Macaca fascicularis: one gene and its partners. The protein of the gene in region 3 purifies or fractionates together with the protein of the main gene of each other region. This does not show direct contact. Links are inferred from orthologs where the notes say so. Each region holds a gene or a part of one and is shown on either strand. Other genes may lie near its edges. The genes, in order: ZNF644, CBX3, ADNP and CBX1.

The links.
Region 1: the proteins of ADNP (region 3) and ZNF644 purify together in Homo sapiens (affinity purification with mass spectrometry; 3 studies listed by BioGRID and IntAct, with this or other methods). This does not show direct contact. The link is inferred for Macaca fascicularis from reciprocal best matches to the Homo sapiens genes ADNP and ZNF644.
Region 2: the proteins of ADNP (region 3) and CBX3 purify together in Homo sapiens (affinity purification with mass spectrometry; 7 studies listed by BioGRID and IntAct, with this or other methods). This does not show direct contact. The link is inferred for Macaca fascicularis from reciprocal best matches to the Homo sapiens genes ADNP and CBX3.
Region 4: the proteins of ADNP (region 3) and CBX1 purify together in Homo sapiens (affinity purification with mass spectrometry; 6 studies listed by BioGRID and IntAct, with this or other methods). This does not show direct contact. The link is inferred for Macaca fascicularis from reciprocal best matches to the Homo sapiens genes ADNP and CBX1.

Annotation. Positions count from the first base shown.
Region 1 is NC_088375.1:143,769,988-143,773,843, reverse strand, and holds part of ZNF644 (zinc finger protein 644), read right to left. Parts: intron 2,353-3,856; coding exon 2,230-2,352; intron 1-2,229.
Region 2 is NC_088377.1:104,098,889-104,102,744, forward strand, and holds part of CBX3 (chromobox protein homolog 3), read right to left. Parts: intron 1,973-3,856; coding exon 1,830-1,972; intron 1-1,829.
Region 3 is NC_088384.1:107,005,766-107,010,190, forward strand, and holds the start of ADNP (activity-dependent neuroprotector homeobox protein), read right to left. Parts: upstream 2,930-4,425; 5' UTR 2,757-2,929; coding exon 2,648-2,756; intron 2,500-2,647; exon of another isoform or gene 2,387-2,499; intron 287-2,386; coding exon 174-286; intron 1-173.
Region 4 is NC_088390.1:58,617,368-58,621,732, reverse strand, and holds the start of CBX1 (chromobox protein homolog 1), read right to left. Parts: upstream 2,897-4,365; 5' UTR 2,725-2,896; exon of another isoform or gene 2,683-2,724; intron 800-2,682; 5' UTR 682-799; intron 1-681. UniProt on the Homo sapiens protein: Component of heterochromatin. Recognizes and binds histone H3 tails methylated at 'Lys-9', leading to epigenetic repression. Interaction with lamin B receptor (LBR) can contribute to the association of the heterochromatin with the inner nuclear membrane.

The DNA of each region.
Region 1 (3,856 bases), on a different chromosome or scaffold from region 3:
TGGACTAATAAAATCTGGACTGGAGATATCTTGCCTTATTGGATATCTGCATAATCTGCTTGAATAATCAGAATGGAACACTAAGTCCTCCAAAGTCTAATCTAGGCCTAAGCACTTCTTGGATCTCTGCTCTTTTTAATTAGACTCTTATGTATTCAATCTTCACCAGAGTACTCCCCATTTTAAATCCACCTTCAGGCCGGGTGCGGTGTCTCACGCCTGTAATCCCAGCACTTTGGGAGGCTGAGGCCGGCAGACTGCCTGAGGTCAGGAGTTCGAGACCAGCCTGTCCAACATGGTGAAACCCCATCTCTACTAAAAATACAAAAAAATTAGCTGGGCATGATGGCATGAACCTGTAATCCCAGCTACTAGGGAGGCTGAGGCAGGGGCATTGCTTGAACCAGGGAGGTGGAGGTTGCAGTGAGCCAAGATCGCGCCACTGCACTCCAGCCTGGGTGACAGAGCGAGACTCCATCTCTAAATAAATAAATAAACAAACAAACAAACAAACCCACCCACCTTCGTTTTAGAATTTTCAATTGCTTATTTTTATTTCAATTTCTTATTTTAAAAATAAGAAATTCAAAAATAGGCCGCCTGTATAAGGTAGAAAACAGTGATTAAAAACAAAGATTAGGTAAGATAGCCCTGATCTGAATTACAACCTTGCTACTTATTAACTGTATAAGTTTGAGCAAATTAAGTTCTCTAAGTCCTAGTTTCCTATAAAATGGAAGAGAATTCCAGTACCTACAACTTGTATGGTTGTTGTGAAGATTAAATGTTATACATGTAAATTGCATGGCATAGTGCCTGACACATAGTAAATGTTCAATAAAGGTTAGCAAGTATGGTAACTAATGATTTCCCACTTGTACAGTCTCTTATTTTCATTGTCCCCCACCTCTAATGTCTGCAATCACTTGCCAAGCCTGATAAAGGTGATAAAGGTATATAAAAATTATAATCTCAGAGTAGGAGGCCTAATCCAGTAGACTAAAACTCACCCCGCTCCTCTCTTTTTAATATAAACCGTCAACATTCATCCCTGGTCATTTGTATATCAAGTTAAGGAAGAATGCAAAGAAGCAGAAGACACTAGTATAAATATAAGTGGCTTTTTGAAAGCAAGAACATATTGGATGTAAGTTATAGGACACAAGGAAGAACAAAAAAGCTGGGCAAACAACTAGAAGAAAGCAGGAGGCAGTGATCTAAAAAAGAGCAAGAGAAATAAAAAGATTGGAAAGAATTTTAGGCAAAAGAATTTATGTAGATCTATGTCAAAAAGAGGGTATATTTTAAGATGTGAAGGAAATGAGATTTGCTGAAGCAGGGTAGCTTAAAAGACTACAAATGAAAAGTGCAAAGCATCTTGTAGGTTATAAGAAGCATATTACATAGAAGTAAGCTAATCAAATTTTCACAGATGAGCAGTATTAAGAGGTATCTGCAAGGTTAGGCTAACCAACCAAAAATAACACAGAAATGTGCATGTTAACACTTATGTGCATAGCTAAGTTTATTAATCCTTAATATATTTAAGAAGTATTAAAAGAAAAATCTATTCACTTGTCAACACAAGCCATTATTAAGGCTCACCCCTTCAAAGATCTAATCTATAGACTAATGAAAATTCATTAGTTTGCTTAGTTTACTAACCAAGTCTACATTTTGAAATATCCCTATAATTTCCTTTGCTAAAAGGATTTCCCCAAGCTAGAACTACAATATTTTTATGCTATGTTGCCCAGGCTGGAGTGCAGTGACTATTCACAGGCACAATCATTGCACATTATAGCCTCTAACTCTTGAGCTCAAGTGATCCTCCTGCCAGCCTCATGAGTAGCTGGGACTATAGGGGCACACCACTGTGCCTGACTAGAACTATAAAGAGAGGTGTTTTACTGGAATCTAAAATAAATTTAAAAATCAAAAATAGTATTCTAAAAAAGAAATGGGATTAAGGTAGACTCAAAAGTTCCACACCTCTTGGGTTAATGTTTTTTCCCCAAATTAAGTCAATAAGAGCCAAAAGAAAAAGATTAACTAGCTTAGAATTATATCTAACAGTTTACAAGCTGCTGAAATTTAATGTGTATTCAGACTCAACTGCAGCTTACTAAAGAAAGCTATAAATATGATCTGAATTAACACCAGTCTGGTGGGAAAAAAAAAAAGTGTATTGTATCAAACAGACTTGCTGTGATATCTGTTCAAACATACCTGTACCAGTCAAAAGTCCAGCACTCTTCTTTCGTGCATAAGCGCGTAAGTGGTTGGACAGGCTAACAGCACTTGTAAACGTCGTATTGCAATGCACACATGTTCTAAGCTTCACAGGCATACCTATCATTCAAAAGAAAACTATAATCCAGTTCTCACTTCAAAAAGTGAAATTTTCTTAGCTTAAAGAGTGTAGAAAAGCACCACAATAAAGATGGTTTTCAAAACGTTCAATGAAATAGGTTAACTTAAAATAAGGAGGGGAAATTAAGTTAACTATTATTAGTTTGTAGTTAGTGTTTAGAGCCAACTCATGCTCTTTGGAAAGGTAGAAGAGGAGTGACTTGAACCTTTGAGCTCCTCTGGATATAACACCTATTATCACTTTCTTGCAGATTTCTGTGTTACGCAGATTATTTCTTAAACCTACTAATATACAATCCTGTGATTTGAACACCACGGTTCTGTTGAGAAGTTTCAAAGCTTACAACATTACCAATAAAAAGAATTTAAAAGTCTAGTTGACAAAGTGGTAATTAAAGTGTTTTACCCACAAAACCGTAAAAGTCTCAGTACTAAATTAGGCTTTCTGATGAAGGCTGGGAGAAAAGGTGGTAAAACACACCACTGAACAGCTGTTAGACACAACATTTTATTCAGGGTATTTTATGTTCATTACTCTGAATGCGCAATCAATAATGAAAGTCAATGATTTAAAGTTTTTTGCTAAAATCTTTGTGCTAAATAAATGATCAACAAGCTAACATCTTAGTCATCACAGAAAAAACATGTTCAAACAATAAGAAACTCCTAACTTCTCAGACAATCCTCACTCCCCCAACACATTTCAATCGGTTTCTTCAGCATTACTGTGATAGCCACAAATACATTTTCCATCTCTGAAGTATACTACCCCTTGTTCAACACAGCTAACACATCTTATCCTTCTGAAAAAATATTGAAAGCTATTGACTTTCAGAGACTCTTTATTAGAAAGAAAAAGCCATATTAAACAGAAGCTCATACAAGATAAATTGTTTTCCAGACCACTTACAACACAAAGTCATCTTTCCTTAAATCAAAATTGCATTACAACTATTTGGGATATCACAATGTTTGCCCCAAAGCAAATAAACAACATTACTTTACAGTAACGTTACTTGTTATTAATCCATTAACTATTACCTCCGACACATTCAACTTACAGCTCTAATCATGAGACCATTTACATAAACCTTCAACATTATTAACCTTCAAAAAGAAATCTAGAAAAGACACTTAAAATTTTTCTAGTCTAAAAGTATAAACCAGACTTGGCAATACTGAATAAAGTTTGGCTACTTTATCTGCCACATTATTTGCCAATACATACAAAATATTCCTTTCAAAAGGAAAAACTATTGGTGCACAAGCACTAAGCTAAATCATCTGTTCTGTTCCATTACAGCACCATCTTAAAACCTAAAACCCCAAACAAATATGTTTTATGTTCACACCTGTTCTCCAAAACCAAACTATCCCGCAATACAATGAGGAATTGGAGACGGAGATGTTTCTTTGGGTTAATCACAAAGACACCAAACCATTTAGCTTTAAGAGTCTTTTTTGTTTTACCTACGCAGTGGAA
Region 2 (3,856 bases), on a different chromosome or scaffold from region 3:
TAGACACGATTCATCACCATTATCCAGATCCATTTTAATAGACACCTGGGGGAATAAAAAATCCTCTGTACTGCAGATACTAATAATTTCCTCCTTCCCTACATTACCCCACCTCCCCGCCTGCCTCTGCCAAAGACAGGGTCTTGCTTTGTTGCCCAGACGGGAGTACAGTGGTGGAATCATAGCTCACTGAAGATTCCAACTCCCGGCTCAGGCAATCCTCTGCCTTAGCCCAAGTAGCTGGGACTGCAGGTATGCAACACCATGCCCAGCTAACTTAAAACACACACTTCTTTTTTTTTTTTTTTTTAAATAGAGAAAGGGTCTCATTTTGTTGGCCAGGCTGGTCTTGAATTCCTGGTTTCAAGTGATCCTCCAGCCTTGGACCCTCAAAGTGCTGGAATTGCAGGTGTGAGCCACTGCACCCAGGCCCTACATTCTAATTTGAGACTCTAAATTAGTAAATCCAAATTACTGGGTAGAGAACAATAAAAGTCTCTGCTCTGTAATATTATTTTCATTAAAGTCTTCTTGGCTGGGTGTGGTGGCTCACACCTGTAATCCCAGAACTTTGGGAGGTCAAAGCAGGTGGATCCCTTGAGGTCAGGAGTTTGGGATCAGCCTGGCCAACATGGTGAAACCCTGTCTCTGCTAAAATACAAAAATTAGCTGGGCATAGTGGCAAATGCCTGTAGTCCCAGCTACTCGGGAGGCTGAGGCAGGAAAATTGCTTGAACTCGGGAGACAGAGGTTGCAGTGAGCTGAGATCACGCCACTGCACTCCAGCCTGGGCAACAGGGCGAGACTCCGTCTAAAAAAAAAAAGAAAAGAGTCTTTTACATTACTTATTACACTGCACATGGCCAAATGCAGTATAATTTTGCTAGTGGCCTTAAGTTTTGGGAGAAGAAAAAGGGAGGAGCCCATTCATTTCCTAAAGTTTTGCTGGGTAAAAATAATTTTTCATGTTTCATGGGCTTAATAAAGTATGGACTTATGATACATACTTAATTTCAACTAAAAACACTGGAGGATAAAACAGGAAAACGTAAATCTCCCATTCAACTCATATTTCCCAAACTGCTATGAATTAAATGTGAAGAGCAGGGAAAGCACGAGATAACAGATATGTGAAGCCCAATCATTTGACTACCATATGCTCTATCTCCAGCAAGCTCAGGAAATTGATCTCCACCTATCCATTTTTAATTGTCACTGCCTATGGAGCTTTGTGGTGTAACAGGGAAGAATCAAAGCAGATAAGCACAACAAACACCAAGTGTTAAAGTATGTAATTGCTGCATGTTCAAGTTATTCACATTTTGTGAAAATTATCAAGAATCCGTATCAAAGAACACAAGGAACCAGAGAGCTTAAAACAAGCCCAGGCTCTACTTCTTAGGTATTAGGACATAATAAACTTAGTATAAAGCCTAGATTATAGGTAATCCTGTATGAGACCCACTAGTCTATACTATATAGCTTCAATGTTTTTTAGTACCCTCTGTGTGGAGGAAAACAATGCAGATTGTTATAATCAGTATAATATCTAACCACATTAAAATACATTATATAGTAAACTACACTCTATAATTTTACAAATTTGACTCCCCAGGGTAATAAACTAGTCTCTAGTCTGCTCAGCTTCAACTGTACAATAAAGTTTTGGTTCTTTTTAAATAGACTTCAAATAAGATACCTAAATTCAAGGTGTCTTTACATTTAAAGACATCTATGGGAAAGCAGGTAAAAGAGTCAGGTTAAAAACAAATTCTAAAACCACTTAGCTGCAGTCAAACATACAATACAGATGCACTAAAGTTTCTTACTCTGTAAATCCCTTCCACTTCAGGAAATACTCCACTTTCCCATTCACTACACGTCGATCTAGTACTTTTTCCACCACAAATTCTTCAGGCTCTGCCTCTTCAACTTTTTTACTCTTTCCATTCTGTTTTTTCCCCATTTTTTGCTAAAATAAAACAAATGAGAAATTAAGAAATATTCTTCTTGAATTTTGGGTACATTTTCAAGGCTCAATTGCTTACATTATTATTACATTCAACATAAATTTTTACTTTTTACTTCCACATCCCAGGGCAGACAGGGAAAGATTAAAAGTCAACAGACAATAAAATAAAAGAATGCTTTATTTTGTTGATTTAGCTCAAACTTATGACCCACCACCAAAATAATACAATCAAAAACACTATCTGGAAAAATTACTTTTTTTCCAGTCTTTTTTTTTTTGAGACAGGGTCTCTCACTCTGTTGCCCAGGCTGGAGTGCAATGGCGTGATCTCGGCTCACTGCAACCTCTGCCTCCCTAGGTTCAAGCAATTATCAAGCCTCAGCCTCCCAAGTAGCTGGGATTACAGGCACATGCCACCATGCCGGGCTAATTTTTTTTGTATTTTTATTAGAAACGGGGTTTCACCATGTTGACCAGGCTGGTCTCAAACTCCTGACTTCAAGTGATTTTGCCTCCCAAAGTGCTGGGATTACAGGCGTAAGCCACTGCGCCCGGCCCTGTAGTCTTAAAAGACCAAGTTTACTAGAGTTTTCACTCATTTTAACAACACAGCAACTATGCAGGAAGTACTTACAGGGTGATACAGAGAAGAAAATAGTAGTGACAGGTCTTAGGTGAACCAACGACAGACCTAAGAGCCTCCTTCTCAATTCAAATACTAATGTCAAAAGCTTCAATAATACAAATAAAAGGTAAGCGCAGAATGAACACGTGGTTCACAATCCTGATACCAACTGCAAGGTCAACTATGGAGACCACTAGGAGGTTAAAGGACAAGATTATTTTTCCATCTCTGTAGATAATATTTCCTACCACTTAGAACCTATAAAGCTGTCACTTCAAGAGGACAAAAGGGGAGATTTTAATTCTCTAAGGTGAAAAAAATCCTTCCTTCCTGGTTTCTCAAGACAAAGTCTATATTGGTAGCCAACTTCACTTTAAACAGGCATTTTTTTGTATGACACTATTTAAGAGAAGCAGGAAACCAACCTCAATCAGCTCTCTTCAATAGCTCAAGATTTGCTATGAGAGGATTAAAAATGGGGAAAATTTTTATGAGATTAAAAATGCGGGGGAAAAACCCCGAAATGGTTAATCAGAAGATCCTATGGGCAGAGAAGAAATCCACCTTAACATTTCATCTTAAAACAAATGCTACTGCCAGGCGTGGTGGCTCATGCCTGTAATGCCAGCACTTTGGGAGGCTGAGGTGGGCAGATCACCTGATGTCAGGAGTTTGAGACCAGCCTGACCAACATGGAGAAACGCTGTCTCTACTAAAAATAAAAAAGTAGCCAGGCATGGTGATGCATGCCTGTAATCCCAGCTACTTGGGAGGCTGAGGCAGGAGAATCGCTTGAACCCGGGAGGCCGAGGTTGCGATGAGCCAAGATCACGCCATTGCACTCTAGCCTGGACAAGAGAAAAACTGTCTCAAAAAAACCCCCCCACAAAACCAAAAAACCCAAATACTATCAAAAAAAGATAAACCTTAATTGCCCAGTCACTAAAGCCATCCCACAAGTAAAGCAGCAAGCAGAAAAAAGTTAACAGCAACACCTCAAGGCTACAAAAGGACATTTCAAGCTATGCAGGCATATGAAGTGCGCAGACACACATGTAAGAAAGGCCTCAAGACTGCAAAATGACATTTCAAGCTATGCAAGCAAGCATATAGGTAACACACACACACACACACACACACACACACACACACACACACTCCCCTGGAATACAAAAAAATGCAGCAAACACCTGACTTTCTCGGATACCATTTCCAAGTCAGGTCTTATGATTCTCATTAGTCAAGATACTTGAGTACTG
Region 3 (4,425 bases):
AAGCCCATTTTAGGGAGAAAGGCACAAGTTACGCTGTTGAGAATGCTTTCGTGAGCTACTGCTGTGGCTGAAATTCAGAATCACATCTAAGATTTAGCCATCATGGCCACTGACACAAAGTAATGGATCAGAAGCTGAGTCATGTTAAAATTTAAAAATGACATGCTACTTACTTCTATATGTTCTTTACAGTATTCCAACCCAATGTCACTAAGTATTTTTTTCACAGTTTTCCGGGCTTTTCTTAAACTGCCAAGATTGTTGACAGGAAGTTGGAACATAGTTTCTATTGGAAAAAAAAATTTAAGTCAAAGTCAAAACACGTACAACTTGTAATATTCACTAATTCCACTGATGACAGGATCATAAACCCTACCCATCTGACAAAAAAGGTGCACAGGTATCCTCATCTAGTGTGTACACACACAGACACACACGCTTGCATGTGCATATGGCTCGACTTATCCATCCATCCATCCATGATCCATCCATCCATCCTTTTTTTAAGACAGAGTCTTGCTCTGTCACGCAGGCTGGAGTGCAGTGCAGTGCACTCATGGTTCATGACTGCAGTGCACTCACGGTTCACCACAGTCTCAACCTTCTGGGCTCAAGTGATCCTCTCGCCTAAGCTTCCCAAGAGGATGGGACTCCAGGAGTGCGCCACTACGCCCAACTAATTAAAAAAATTATTTTTTTGTAGAGACTAGGTCTCACTATGTTGCCCAGGCTGGTCACAAACTCCTGGACTCAAGCCATCCTCCCGCCTTGGCATCCCAAAGTGCTGGGATTACAGGTGTGAGCCACTGAGCCAGGCACGTATCTACTATACTTTGAATACTTAAAGCAGGCAGGCAAAATAAGTACTCTCTGATCTTCCCAGTTTTTAATAGGACATTTTGACTATGAGTCTAATCTGGCGTAATTCTGATAAGACTTTAAAAAAACAGTTCAGCAATGAACTTCAAGTTGAAAATTAGAGAAACAATAGCAATCAATTATTTTTAAATCAAGTGTTCTTTTCTCCTTTTGATGTTGAACATCTGAAAACAGAAAAATGTTTACCAGTTCATCATCATTATACAGTTTTGAGTGCCAGGGTAAAGAGGTTTTTGTTGAATTGGAACTGTCCTGCCTACTGCTATGGTATTCTTAAAAAAAACCAAACAAACAAAAACTAAAAACCTTAAGTTTCTGTATACTTCCCAAACTAAAGACAGTAATGATATATGACTCGACCAACACATGCCCCCACTCCTGCAACATACCTGGGCAACATACCTGGGCAACATACCTGGGCAAAGGCACTCACAAATGTTAACTGTTACAGACTTTAAGGAGGATCCTTTTGAAAAAATGAAAAGCCTGTATGTATGTGAGGGAACTGAAAAATTATTTTAATGACCTCATACATTAAATTAGATAGACCAACTTTCCCAAGTTCCTTAAAACAAAAGTTTGTCTTTAATGAGAAAATAAAATCAGTAAAACTTGGGCAACTGAGAATATGTATGGTTTCTAATGAGATCATAAATGCTTTCCATAATATGGTAAAAATTTATCAATAATCCAAATGTAACACAATTTCACAGGATGTCAAGTTCTAAAACCCAAAATAGCAAAAACAAAAGGCAAAGCACCAGGAATTAAAATTTAATATATGCAAATCCAGTTTTCTAATTAATAAAGGCTGTTACTCTGTAATACTAATATCATCTGTAAATGGCAAGTCAACTAATCCAAATGTAATAAAATGTTGCCTCATTTATTACTCTAATCCAAAATCAACGTTAACTACAAAAAATGGGAAATAAAAGGAGAGCGTGAAATCTACCAAAATCAAACAGTAACCCCTAGAAATTTTCAAACTGGGTATGTTACTCTAACTTAGAAGTCTCAAAATATTCTATATAAAGTACCAAAGAATAACTGGGGCCAAAAATGAAAAGTATTTTGAAAAAACCTTCTCAGCCTTATCATACTCAAGATAGAATTGCTGCTCACTATGAAGCAATGACTGTGATGTCCCCTGCCCTCTCTGCTCTGCTAATAATCTGACTATTGTGAAGCCAACTACAGACTTAGAAGTCACTTCTGATATAAATTAAGACCAAATCAATTATTTTTCGTCTAAATTGTATTGCTAAATTATTTTAAACCATCTTTTTTGTGGTGGCTTAAAATCAGCAAATTCTTTATCACTTGCTTCCTTTAAAACGATTACTACACGCTGGGCGCGGTGGCCCACACCTGTAATCCCAACACTTTGGGAGGCTGAGGCGAGCAGATTACAAGGGGTCAAGAGATCAAGAACAGCCTGGCCAACATGGTGAAACCCCATCTCTACTAAAAATACAAAAAATTAGCTAGGCATAGTGGCACCTGCCTGTAGTCCCAGGAGGCTGAGGCAGGAGAATCGCTTGAACCTGGGAGACGGAGGTTGCAGTGAGCCAAGATCACACCACTGCACTCCAGCCTGGTGACAGAGTGAGATTTCGTCTCAAAAACAAACAAAAAACAAACACAGTTACTACAAATCAGGTCTTTTAGAGAGAAGCACATGCTAGAAAAATATTTCAGAAATACAGAAAAGTGTCACAGGCTAATTCTGAAGAAACCAGGCATTAAAATGGATGCCCACAGATACCTAAGACTGGGAGGAGACGTCTTGTTTCTCTATTCATTTCATAAACTCTCTTTGGGCCAAAATTCAGTTCTTTGGGAACTTCCTGAGTCAACTCTGCTTCACACTTCATAAGAGATGTGTCCAGAAGCCAGACATTAATGGTTTCCCTGCCTCCTGGATCAGTGGCTCAACAATCTTAGAAAAACAAAGACAGAAAGATTTGGAAATGTAGCCACCACTGGGGTCATTAGTCTACAGAAAACATTAAGAAGAATCAAGCGGTAGCTTGGGGGAAAGAAAAACCCATTCTCCTAAGTGCCTACCCACAGCTTAAAAAGTTGGTTTAAGACATTAAGATGAAGCATCTCACTGCCTGGTAGGTATTTTTTTCTGAAAAAGTGAGTATGCCCATAAGGGAACTTAGTTGTAAGAAACTTGTAATTTATAAAAAGCGGTATTTCAGCCACAGAGTTGGTGTTGGGTTTACTTATCTATTTTGAATTTAAAAGGTTTATAAATAAAGCAGTGACACTGCTTACTGGGAAATGCTGTACCAAAAAAATGTTATTTTGCTGTAGGCTTAGTAACTAAGAGGAATCTGTATTTTTTTTTTTTTTTTTTGAGACGGAGTCTCGCTCTGTCGCACAGGCTGGAGTGCCGTGGCGGGATCTCGGCTCACTGCAACCTCTGCCTCCCGGGTTCATGCCATTCTCCTGCCTCAGCCTCCCCAGTTGCTGGGACTGCAGGCGCCCACCACCATGCCTGGCTAATTTTTTGTATTTTTAGTAGAGACAAGGTTTCACTGTGTTAGCCAGGATGGTCTCGATCTCCTGACCTCGTGATATGTCCAACTCAGCCTCCCAAAGTGCTAGGATTGCAGGTGTGAGCCACCACGCCCGGCCTTTTTTGAGACAGAGTTTTGCCTGTTGCCCAGACTGGAGTACAATGCACAATCTCAGCTCACTGCAACTTCTGCCCCCCGGGTTCAAGCAATTCTCCTCCTCAGCCTCCTGAGTAGCTGGGATTACAGGTGCGTGTCACCACATCACACTAATTTTTGTATTTTTAGTACAGACGGGGTTTCACCATGTTGCCCAGTCTGGTCTCAAATTCCTGACCTCAGGTGATCCACCTGCCTCAGCCTCCCAAAGTGCTGAGATTACAGGTGTGAGCCACTGCGCCTGGCCAGAGTTCCACTTTTCATCCAGGCTGGAGTGTAGTGGTGCAATCACAGCTCATTGCAGCCTCAACCTCCTGGGCACAAGTCATCTTCCCACCTCAGCCCCACCAGGCAGCTGGGACTACAGGTGCACACTACCACGCCTGGCTATATTTTTGTTTTTGTTTTTTGGTAGAGATGGGGTTTTGCCACGTTGCCCAAGCTTGTCCTGAACTCCTGAGCTCAAGCGATCTGCTGGCTTTGGCCTCCCAAAGTGCTGGGATTACAGGTGTGCACCACCATGCCTGGCCAGGAATCTATGTTCACGTTAACTCAGAACATTCTACATCTTTTCAGTGTAAAGATTATAATGCTCTTCATATGCCTATTTCTGACATTCCTAATAACCTTGGAAATTCCATAATGTCCCTTTCTCCAGATAAGTGTGTGCCCTCCATGCGTTTGCTCATGGAGGTCATTTCTCTAAGATTTTCTCCATTTGGAGCTGAAATAACAGTCATATACATTGGCACCTTCAAAAGCATTTGCAAATATTTTTGTTTTTGTTTTTTTTTTGCTTTAAATACTTTCTCAGTAGATAAAACAAGCACACAATTCAGAAATATAAGCAAAGAAGGCT
Region 4 (4,365 bases), on a different chromosome or scaffold from region 3:
GCCACCACGCCCGGCTAATTTTTTGTATTTTTAGTAGAGACAGGGTTTCACCGTGTTAGCCAGGATGGTCTCGATCTCCTGACCTTGTGATCCACCCGCCTCGGCCTCCCAAAGTGCTGGGATTATAGGTGTGAGCCACCACGCCTGGCCTGCACTTAACCTTTTTTTTTTTTTGAGACGGAGTCTCGCTTGGTAGCCCAGGCTGGAGTGAGTGGCCGGATCTCAGCTCACTGCAAGCTCCGCCTCCCGGGTTCCCGCCATTCTCCTGCCTCAGCCTCCCAAGTAGCTGGGACTACAGGCGCCCGCCACCTCGCCCGGCTAGTTTTTTGTATTTTTAGTAGAGACTAATACAAAAATACAAAAATTTTGTATTTTTAAAAATTTTGTAAAAATACAAAAATTTTGTATTTTTAGTAGAGACGGGGTTTCACCGTGTTAGCCAGGATGGTCTCGATCTCCTGACCTCGTGATCCGCCCGTCTCGGCCTCCCAAAGTGCTGGGATTACAGGCGTGAGCCACTGCGCCCGGCCCACTTAACCTTTAAGAAATGACTCCATCTCCAAGGTGGTGTGTACTTAAAAAATAAATAAATAAATAAATAAACACTTCCAGTCTCGGCAACATAGGGAGCCTCTATCTGTATAAAAATTAAAAAAATTAACCGAGTATGGTGGCACACACCTGTGGTCCCAGCAGCTCCAACGGCTGAGGTGGGAGGATGACTTGAGCCCTGGAGGTTGAGCCTGCAGTAAGCTGTGATCCTGCCACTGCACTCCAGTCTGGGCAACAGAGCAGGAACCTGTCTCAAAAAAACAAAGAAGGCCGGGCGCGGTGGCTCAAGCCTGTAATCCCAGCACTTTGGGAGGCCGAGGCGGGTGGATCACGAGGTCAGGAGATCGAGACCATCCTGGCTAACATGGTGAAACCCCGTCTCTACTAAAAATACAAAAAACTAGCCGGGCGTGGTGGCGGGCGCCTGTAGTCCCAGCTACTCGGAGGCTGAGGCAGGAGAATGGCGTGAACCTGGGAGGCGGAGCTTGCAGTGAGCCGAGATCGCGCCACTGCACTCCAGCCTGGGTGACACAGCGCGAGACTCCGTCTCAAAAAAAAAAAAAAAAAAAAAAAACAAAGAAAAGTTACCATTTGTTGAATTTGGGTAGTATCAAAGAAGAATATTCAAAATTGTTTGAGAAGGCTAAATATACTCTTCCTTTTCTCAACTACATATCTATTTAAGGCTGAATTTTCTTAATGTACCAAAACAACAGAGCACAACAGAGAAAGGGGAAGCACATATGAGAATCCAGCTATCTTCCTTAATTTTTTTTTTTTTTTTTTTTTTTTTTTTTTGAGACGGAGTCTTGCTCTGTCGCCCAGGCTGGAGTGCAGTGGCCGGATCTCGGCTCACTGCAAGCTCCGCCTCCCGGGTTCACGCCATTCTCCTGCCTCAGCCTCCCGAGTAGCTGGGACTACAGGCGCCCGCCACCTCGCCCGGCTAGTTTTTTGTATTTTTTAGTAGAGACGGGGTTTCACCGTGTTAGCCAGGATGGTCTTGATCTCCTGACCTCGTGATCCGCCCGTCTCGGCCTCCCAAAGTGCTGGGATTACAGGCTTGAGCCACCGCGCCCGGCCCAATTTTTTTTTATTTTTATTTTTTTACAATGGAGTCTCCCAGGCTGGAGTGTAATGGCGCAATCTTGGCTCACTGCAACCTCCAACTCCTGGGTTCAAGCAATCCCCCTGCGTCAGTCTCCTGAATAGCTGGGATTACAGGTGCCCATGACTATGCCCAGCTAATTTTTGTAGTTTTAGTAGAGACAGGGTTTCACCGTGTTGGCCAGGCTGGTCTCGAACTCTTGACCTCAGGTAATCCACCCGCCTCCAGCTCCCAAAGCGGTGGGATTACAGGCGTGAGACACCGTGCTCGGCCCCTTTCTTTTCTTCCTTTTAGCTGTTTTTCTTTTTTTCAGACAGGGTCTTGCTCTGCAGAGATCAGGGCTCCCTGCAGCCTCGAACCCCTGGTTCAAGCCTTCCTCCTGCCTCAGCCTCCCTAGTAGCTGGGACTACAGGCACATGCCACCACGCCTGGCTAATTTTTAAATTTTTTTTTGCAGAGACGAGAGTCTCCCTAAATTGGTAGGGCGTGTCTCAAGACTAGCCTCAAACGATCCTCCCGCCTCGGCCTCTCTAATAAGTGTTGGGATTACAGGCGTGAGCCACCGCGCTAGACTTGCTGAAATTATCTTTAAATAAGTTGTTAAAAGACCATCGCAAAAGTCTTCAACACATTGAACGGTTTTCTCTTGCTCCCTAGCTGCATGATGCTGCTTCGAGTTTGTTTTGGTGTGAGCCATCTGAGTCGCCGGACCCTCTCGAGTCTGGCTTTCACTCTGACAATCGGTCAGTGGCTTTACGAATCGGAATCGGAGTCCCCTCGATAGCTCCGCTGGGGAACAACAAACTACGAGGTTCCAATGGTGACTCTCGAGACTTAGTGAGGATCCAGGGATGTGGGCTTCCTAAAGCCCCGAACCTCCCACACTGCAGACGGTACCTCGCATTAAGGGAACAAGAGTAACAACCCCCTCACACCCCTCTGCTCTCGTGACCCACTGGCTGACCGTTGCGGACGCCCCCTGGCCGCTGATTGGCTTCCCCTGACAGTGGGCGGAACGCGGCCCCGGATTGGATATCCGAGCCCATTCGCCGTCCCTCACCCCGCACCTGCGTCCACTCTCTAGCGTCCCAAGTGAGTGGAGGGGGGATCCCGACTCCAGTCCCGGGCCTTGGCAAGCGGAACTGCGCCGTTCGGAAGCGGGAATCCCACTCAGAGCCCGGGCCTGTAAAGGCGGGGCGTCCTGGGCAGCCGGGGTTAGGGCGTCTCCCGTCGTGCACTGGGGCACCGGCGACTCACCCGGAAGGAGAAGCCGTGATCTGGCTATATGGTGGGGCGCGGGCGGTGTCGCTGTGGGGAGCTGGTGCTGTTCTCAGGTGAGAGTGCGTGGGCGGGGCCCCGGGGAGTAGGGGCTGCGCTCAGGTGAGGGGGCGTGGGCTTGAGCGTCAGTAGTGGCACTCGGGATGGTGGCATCGCTTTACATCCTAGGGAGGGACTCTCTTACCACCCGGCATTAAGGCAAGGGCTTGCTGGGGATCCAAAAACCGACTTTTCAGTTTACCTTCAAAGTATATCTTTCACTTCCTACTCCCCAGGCTTAATCGGAAAGGAAGAAGGATCATGTGGACCTTTCGGTCCTAGTTTGTTGCGAATGGAGGAGGAGTGATCGTAGTAAAAGACTGGGGACATTTACTTAAACGGCTAAGACTGGGGGCAATGGCGAGTATTTTACGTGGACACGGGAGACTTGCGGTAGATTGTGGTCGCCGTTGTTAATTACCTTCCAAGTGAAAGGAGTAGGTTAGAGATGGACAAAAAGATGGAGCATAACTGCTTGGTTGAGATCATACAAAGCTTGGTCAGAACTGGGAGCTTCCTCTATCTAGTACGTGTGATATTTATAATTGGAGGGAGAGCTTTTTGAATTGCTATCTGCCATCTGGCACTAAGGGCTCAAGATTGAGTAAGAAGGGACGGTAGTCTCAGTAGTTCCATCTACTTTAATCACCTGATTTTTTTCTTAACCTGTCTCTTGAAGTTGTTTAAATGGGAGAGAAAATAAATGGTGAGACTAAAGCCTTGTATTGTTACTATATTAGAAGCTTTACGATGAATCTACTTTGTAAACAGCAAACAATTGGGTACTCACCAGCGCTACTGGTGCTGGTACAGGTGAAGAAAGTGAAGGAAACTTCAGATGTGGTTGAAAGGGCCCAGGAAATGTAGTTAACACCGAGTTATGTAATTAGCCATGGTCACTGACTCTAGCCTTATTTGGATGACGTACAGATCCATCTCCCAGATTATAGAACTAAAGTTAGGAACTTTCTGCTTCTTCTCCAGAGGCAGAACTGAGCTTTTTCTTTTGAGGAGTGGTATCTGTGGGGAGGAATCTAATGAAGAATAGTGGTTGCTAGAAATTACTACTTGGTGTCTAGGTTTTTGTATTTGTTCCAGTGTTTGTTTGTTTGTTTTTGAGATAGGGTCTCGCTCTGTTGCCCAGGCTGGAGTGCAGTGGTGTGATCTTGGCTCACTGCAGCCTCTGCCTCCTGGGTTCAAGCGATTCTCATGCCTCAGTCTCCCGAGTAGCTGGGAGTACAGGCCCGTGCCACCATGCCCAGCTAATTTTTGTATTTTTAGTAGAGACGGAGTTTTTGCCGTGTTGGCCAGGCTGTTCTCGAACTCCTGGCCTCAAGTGTTCTGCCCGCCTCAGTTTCCCAAAGTGCTGGATTACAGGCAGGAGCCACTGC